Bombyx mori: one gene and its partner. The protein of the gene in region 2 purifies or fractionates together with the protein of the main gene of each other region. This does not show direct contact. Links are inferred from orthologs where the notes say so. Each region holds a gene or a part of one and is shown on either strand. Other genes may lie near its edges.

The links.
Region 1: the proteins of mRNA-capping enzyme (region 2) and transcription elongation factor SPT5 purify together in Homo sapiens (affinity purification with mass spectrometry; 3 studies listed by BioGRID and IntAct, with this or other methods). This does not show direct contact. The link is inferred for Bombyx mori from reciprocal best matches to the Homo sapiens genes RNGTT and SUPT5H.

What each region holds. Positions count from the first base shown.
Region 1 is NC_085110.1:18,085,784-18,089,915, forward strand, and holds the start of transcription elongation factor SPT5, read right to left. Parts: upstream 2,808-4,132; 5' UTR 2,648-2,807; coding exon 2,448-2,647; intron 2,365-2,447; coding exon 2,286-2,364; intron 2,201-2,285; coding exon 2,069-2,200; intron 1,295-2,068; coding exon 1-1,294. UniProt on the Homo sapiens protein: Component of the DRB sensitivity-inducing factor complex (DSIF complex), which regulates mRNA processing and transcription elongation by RNA polymerase II.
Region 2 is NC_085110.1:3,886,305-3,890,246, reverse strand, and holds the start of mRNA-capping enzyme, read left to right. Parts: upstream 1-1,132; 5' UTR 1,133-1,439; coding exon 1,440-1,625; intron 1,626-1,849; coding exon 1,850-1,986; intron 1,987-2,398; coding exon 2,399-2,566; intron 2,567-3,088; coding exon 3,089-3,192; intron 3,193-3,587; coding exon 3,588-3,645; intron 3,646-3,942.

The sequences.
Region 1 (4,132 bases), about 14 Mb from region 2:
GCTCGTGCATGGTGAGGTCGGAAACAAGCACGACCCTGTGCGGTTCGACGCGCACTATGAGGCCTGTGTCGCCCTCGTAACGCCCAGCCACCACTTTCACGTGATCACCCATTTTGAAGTACTTGCGCAACTCATTCGGATGGAAGACAATTGGGTCCTTAAGACCATCGTGTTTTGGCATGACAGTGATCATCGAACCGTCGATAGCAGTGATGCGGGCCTGCAAGTTCGCAAGATCTCCAGTACAGACTTCCACATTGTCACCCATGGAGAAGGAATGCAAGCCGGCAGGGTCGTCCTTGGCGGGAGCAGCCAACTCAATATCGATACCTTCCGGTTGCTCTTCAAATCTTTCCAACTCTGTAAGTGAAGGCTTGACACCTTCTGACAGTATCGCCGACATTGTAAAGTTTTTATACAGAAATCCTTTCCTAGAGTACCTATTGCCCTCAAATATGAGGAAATCACCATCGGAAGTAACTTCTCCACCGATCGCTCGGATTGCCTCTGGATCAAAGGGTTTAGCAGGAGGCCTTCTCTTTTTCTTTCGCTTTGCTGCTTCACTATCGCTCTGTACTGTTCTTAAAGCTCCTCTCAGTCTTGTATAATCTATTCTAGGAAGTAGTTTCAAATGCACTTGATTCTGTGCCAAGTCTACATAGTCAACTTGAGCAATATCATCTTTGTATAAACCTCGTTTTAATCTGACCCATTGTTTCGGTTTAAGTCCTGATTGCTTTTTGACTACTCTGAGAACATCAGTCATTTCCTTAATAGGCACCATTTCTTGTTTCCACACTCCAGACTTAAGGGTTCCCACTTTGTCTATAATGTTTTTAACATGTGTCTGCTTGAAAGCCTCTATGTACACATAGCCTTTGACTCCTTCTGGTGCTACAACTGACTTTATCAAAAAAGGTTCTTCCGAGAATTGGAAAGCAATAAATTTTCGCATCAAAAGTAAAACAGTAGCCTTCTCTTCTCCAATCCTACATCTGACCATCCACAAATTTGGATCCTTGATACCGGGTAGTAGAGTTTGCTGAGTTATTTCATCAGACATCTCTTCTCCACCTTCACCAAAGTGTCTGAGGGCTGCTGATTCATCTGCATACTTATTTCGAAGATATTCTTCAATCTCCTCCTCTTTCTGTGAATCCCAAAGGTTAGTGCCTCTTCTTCGACCTTCAATTTCTCTAGCTGTTGGCCCAATTTCATCTACTTCATTTCCTACAATACCCATTTCTTGGGCTCCCTCTTCCCATTCGTCATCTTCATCAACTTCATCATCCACCTACAAGATAAAGTTATTTCAATTTATTTTATATACTTAGTACTTTTTATGCTCTTTCAAGAACTCACTATATGATTTACTATTCACTATTACTCGTATTACTCACTATTTGATACAGTATCTTCAATTACTCATTTTATTGAAGTTTTGAGCTAATGAGTGCAATTTGTGATGTCTATGAGCCCTACAGGGCTTGAGGCCTGAACAGTAATACAGAAATTTGACAGCCAATATATGGCAACAAAAATAACATACAATAGTTGACATAGGAATATGATCGGCTATGTTAGCCACAGCACAGCCACATCACACTGTGACAGTTATAAACGGAGTTTGAAGTGGTCGCCGTGGCCAAAATCAACTAAGGTAGTAAGAGAGTAGTAGTAGTAGCAGTGACTTAAAACACTGTTTATGAAATAGTAAATCTTCAATCGTTCATCTTAGCTCTAAGGCTTATGTTGAATTATGATTTTTGTGTGAATAGGCAGGCACACTATGTAGCAATGTTCTAAATTATATTGTCACAGTTAGCTAAATTATAACTAATAACACAGCTTTAATCTGCATTATTCACGGATACAGTGTGTGGTAAAATTATATATACAATAATGCAGAAAAGTCCACATCAAATGAAAAGTAGCATTAATTAATCACACTTTATATATGAAAATGACAAAAAAAAAATTTCTTTAAACTTTTCTTTGTAATCTCGTTTTTTATATTAACCTCAAATTTCGTAGCATAGACAAATGAAAACCAATTTCAATTGCATACCTCAGCTTCGTCAATAATGAATCCACCATAACGACTGTCCTTTTTTCTTTTCTTCCTCAGCCTCTCCTCTTCTTCGTCTTCTTCATACTCCTCAGAATCAACCAAATCCTCACCTTCGGGCTCTTGTTCATCCTGTTGATACAGTTTCATAAAATATTGTATAGCCCAAACAGAAAGTTATCTACAATTTCAATATTAAATGTTATTTATGCGTTACCTCCACTTCTTCATCGCCAGATGCTTCTTTGGCTTCATCATCTCTATTTTTACTTGCATCTGAACCTACTGAACGACTTCTGTGAAACAAAACAACCCTCATAAAGTCAAGTGAAAAGATACACGGAAAACTTATTATTTACTTAGACTACCCGGATTTTACCTAGAGCGAGACCTAGATCGTGAGCGGGATGGAGTCCTAGAGGGGCTACGGCTTCCAGAACGCGACCTGGACCTTGATCGAGAGATAGAACGCGATCTTGCCGACCGATTCGATGCAGCGCTGCGATGTGATTGTTTTGATACAGCACTGCCTGCCTCGGACCCACTCCCCGAATAGTTACTACCTTCCGAATCCGACATTACTACTTAAAACGAATGCATTCGAACCATTTAGGTAATATTTACTAAACTTATTTCTTTAAAACGAACACGCAACAAACGTCACGAAACAGTGTGACCCATAGATTATACTTTTATAGTGTGACCATTGAGAAAATAGATAATCTGCCCTAGGTTAACTGATTATCTACCCTCGCCGCGAAGAAAAAACCACAAAATATGCTAGGTACCTATTTTTTGCACTTCTCAAACCATTTCTGATTAAAATAAAACGCAATTCTAATTAAAAAATTGTTTTCTGCTATAAATTAAGGCCAAATTTACAAAAAAAACTCTCATTGCATTTTAATCCCATGTCTATAATTTTTTTCTTTATAAATGTAAATCATTCAGTCATGTTCCTTTTAGACCTTATTTCGGTGTACTAACGGTAGGAATACGTCTATTTAAAATTCTATTCCACAAACTTATTTTTGTTCATGTTACCTTGATAAACTAATAATACGAGTAAAGTGCGCAACACGTTTGTCACCAACAGTTTTAAACTGCTATTGCAAAAAAAATGTTATTGTCTTTTTTAAGTGAAAGCTTCTTTATCATCGTTGTGATTCGAAAGTCGATGAACAGAAAAAGCGATAGTAGAAAGAGACAGACACTTAAATTTTTAAGATTTAACGTGGGAGAAAATGAAGTAGCATTAGTGTTTCTTAAATTCGTGGTTCTCTTTGTGCTCTGCTTCGTACCTAATATTCGTACTTAATACATATTGAATAAATCTATGTAATTTAAACGAATAAAGTGTAAAATAAATATCAAACTTTGTATCACTATGAACATTACTATTTTAAAACATACATAATTATCCTCTCCCTGAAATTTTACATTAACTTGAAGCCAAAATTTTTGAAGATTTCACTTCTACCACGTGTGAGTTACACGCATAATATATGTTTTTAAAGCTAAATGAGTATATGTATGGAGTTTTAGAAGGGCCTTCAAATTTGATCCACAAAAAAATTTGCACTCTTTTAACTTGCACTAGTTTAAGTTTTCGTTATTTTGTGTTCAACTTAAAAACTTCTTTTTATTCGCCGAAAATTCTAAGCTTTATAATTTTAGAAGAAGAGCTACTTTATTTGATCCCAAATCTAACAAATTTTGCATATAAAAATTTCCATTCCGGGACGGCTAGGCTGGCAGATGTAAAGCATTGATATAATTTTGTATGGGTATAGATGCAAGGATATTATAAGACAGAAAATCCATGTGGAATAATGAAAAAGAAAACATTAATATTAAGAAACTGTTGCTTGCACATGACGACTCGTCATAGAGATGTTTCACAGTAAAACCACAAACTTCTCTTTTCGCGTTCCTGTCAGAATAATTATGTTACTAAAACTGATGGCTTACTTTTGTGTTTTATCAGACCAAACAAAAAAAAACAGATCTAAAAGTATTGACTCTAAGTTCTCTCCTATAATCAAGCATGCTTCGTAAATCGTA
Region 2 (3,942 bases):
ACTGGAGCCCATAGACATCTACAACGTAAATGCGCCACCCACCTTGAGATATAAGTTGTAAGGTCTCAGTATAGTTACAACGGCTGCCCCACCCTTCAAACCGAAACGCATTACTGCTTCACGGCAGAAATAGGCAGGGCGGTGGTACCTACCCGCGCGGACTCCCAAGAGGTCCTACCACCAGTGATTACGCAAATTATAATTTTGCGGGTTTGATTTTTATTACACGATGTTATTCCTTCACCGTGGAAGTCAATCATGAACATTTGTTGAGTACGTATTTCATTAAAAAAAATATGGAGGGTAGAGGTAAGTAGAACCGTCTCTATGTGAAAAAGTATTCGTTAAAATCTGTTAGATAAGGGTGGCACTACATTAGCACCGAGGTAAATTTAAAAAAAGGCGCTAAAAGTTATTAGAATAAGATAGAGAAATAAGAAAGGGTGAAAGAACTGTAAGCAACACAAAATCACAAAAAGTATTTTATTTAAAGCTGCTAAGAAAATGCAATCGAAGTAACAGTAATCGACAGTAAAATTGTTAAGTTATATTATTGAAATTAGTTTGGACTACGTAAACATGTGAGGTCTTGTATATTACACTGTCACTAATTACTCTAGTCATTAAATATATTAAATTTTCAAACTCGGCATACTTCAATGAGTTAACAACTGCTCAATTCATATCATACCCTGTGCCTATGCTAGCGCCATTCTCGAGGATTTTTGAACTGTTATTTAGTGGTGAAAGTGGGACACTTTTTTGAAAGTTCTCCCATATGGATATGAGACGGTTCTCCTTACCTCTACCCTCCAGCTCAATGAATTTGGCACCCATTTTTTTTCCGATTTTTTTTATATTTAATTATTTGTTAAAGATAAAAATAAAGATATCTAGTAAGAGGGGCCCACTTAAGGGTGATCATTTGTTTAATTAATTATAAATTAATAAAAGACGAACAAACAATTTTTACAAACGACGAACAAATAATTAAAAATAAAAACAATCCGAAAATAAAAAAAAGGAGGCCAAATTCAGTGAGCCCTACCCTCCGTAGTATCATAGGTTTTAATCACTGAAGTAGGAAACCTAGGTCTATGGTTTTAATGCTTTTTTCTTGCTAGCCTGTGCTTGTCTTGTCACTGTCAACAGCACAGAATCATAGACTGACACAGGATTTAAGGTTGTCGACAACATAGATTAACATACATTTAATAAAAAAAACATTAAGCTAAAGAACACGAGAGTACTACAGATATTTGTTTATTGAATTAAAATTCAAGAAAAATTTCTGAGATTTGACTACTAGGACGATACACTGTTATTATAGTTTGTGAAGATAACTCAAAAGCAAAACGCCAGAGACACATTTTTGTATTCTTTTGGATTGTGTATAAGTTGAATCGTATTATTTAACTAGGCTTGTAGCTCTGCTGAAAATGTCGAAAAGTGATCCAGGTCCACTGCCCAGTAGGTGGTTGAATTGCCCGAGAAAGTGTACATCTTTAATAGCCCAATCGTTTTTAGCCTTTAAAACACCATTGGGCACAAAATTCAATGAAAAAGTGCCCGAAAAGTGTCGTTTTACGCCTAAAATGATTTTCGACTTCTCTAAAAGTATTAAGGTAAAAAGAGATTACTCAAGTTAATATAACAATTAAGACTAGTTAATTTTATATTTGCATAAAAATAACAATAATATCATAAATTAAATTTGAGACTCAAAAATATACGAATATATACGAGTCATTGTATCTCATAAAATTCATTTACAATTTTGTACACGCAACTTTTGAGCATGCGGTAACATTTTTCATATCGTCTAGAAAAAAAAATTGTTTTCTTTTAGAAAAAAATAGGTTTATGGATTGATCTCACAAATACAAGCAGATTTTACGATAAAGGGGAGATAGAGGAAATGGACTGTAAATATATGAAAATACAATGCAAAGGTCACGGAGAGGCACCGAGTGAAGACCAAATAAGGTTTGATGCAGTGTTATAATATTTATAATATACAATAATTATAAATTATACATTTCAGTCAATGTGAATAATAAATACAATAAGTATTCATTATGAAAAATTATAGACATTTGGTTAACAGATTGGATGTGAATTACAAAGTGAAAAATATATTTACAAGTTTGTTTGTTGTGTTTCATATAATCATTGACATATAATGGTGTTATGATGTGATGTTTAAAGAATCAAAATAACTAAATGCAAAAAAATAGATTTAAAAAAAATATCCCTGTTACTGGTTTAATGCCATGCTTCATGTAATTGGTACTTGTGTTAGAAAAGAGGAATACAGTGTGTTGATTAATAAAAATTAGTCTTATTTTGTTAGTGTTTGAAACCAGACAATGAAGTTAAAACGCCTTATTGGATTCAGGGTCTTCATACACACTGTCAAGAACTTTATGAAGAAAAAACCTCTTGAGCTCATAGCTGTTCACTGCACACATGGATTTAACAGAACCGGTTTCTTGATTGTGTCTTTCATGGTTCAAGAAATGGACTGTAGTATTGAAGCTGCCTTAAAAGAGTTTAATACAAAAAGGTAAATATATTTTATGGTCTTGCTTTCAATGAAATGTATGTGTTTTGAAAATAAAATTAATGTGTGTAAATTTTCATTAACCATTCTCAAATTACATCACAAAATTAATAGGAATAAGCTTGCATTTCCTTTGGCTCTAAATTGAGAAAATAAGAACTATGTTTTTTTTGATTGAGTAGCCTGTGAATGAGCATATGACCCACTAGGTGTTAAGTGGTTAGAAAAGCCCACAAACACCACTGCTGTTACTGCTAAGTACCTGCCCCTGGATTATTCAGTTTGCTGTGCTGTATTTATGTTTAAATCTCTTTGTTTTCAAGTAAAAATATAAAAAAAATATCATGGCCATTGAGAAGCCCGTGTGCATGTCTGCTTAAAATGATAGTAAAAAGAAATACAGCTTAAAGTTCACACAACTTGTATCAATGTAATCGTATTTAATTTTCAAGTCAGTGTCAAAGTAGTGGTATTCAGGTTATTGTTTGCTTGGGCTAAAAAAATTTGGCTTTGTTTGATTTGCAGACCTCCAGGAATATACAAGCAAGATTACCTCACTGAATTGTTCAAACTATATGGAGATGTTGAAGATACTCCAATGGCTCCTGCAAGACCTGACTGGTGCAATGGTAAGCACAAAAACAACGTAGGTGAAATAGGCCAGACAATCTCAATTAGATCAATTTCATTGTTCATGTGGTCAACACATTGTTGACTACTGCTGTATATAAAAAAATTACTAATGCTTACATTTTATTACTTCCACATCCAATTAAGAAATAATAGCCGGTGACATGATGTAAATTTTTAGGTAATATTGCTGGTCAATGATGTGTAAAGTGCTTTCAGAAAACCATAGACTGTCTCTTATGTATTGTATAATCATTGTCCCATCTATCACTAAACGCAACTGCTTCACTGTGATTGCCAATTAACAATTAGCATTGTGTCAGCCAATATGAATATATCTTATAAATTGATCCATTGTGCAATTAACCATGGAATTAATAATCTCAAATTACAGAAATAGAAGAAGAAGAATCTGATGATGACAACCCGAGTGCTACACAGGATACATCAGAGTAAGTTCTTGTTATTCCTTAGGTAAATTTTTATATTTATTAATATCTAGTCAAACCTGACCATATTCCGCTGTGATTGGTATACAAGAATAATAACTGTTTGTTAAAATTGTTCACGTCGGTCATTGGTCGTACTTGAACTTTCAGGTAGTAACTCTTGGTACGAACACATTCCATTGCCTCATAAAACTGGGTAGGGTACTTACTGCTGAAGCCAGTTACTAATAGGTCTTCTTAATTGCTATAGATGACTAATAGAGCTCACGAGCTACTTCCGTGTTATGAAGTTAGCGGTAT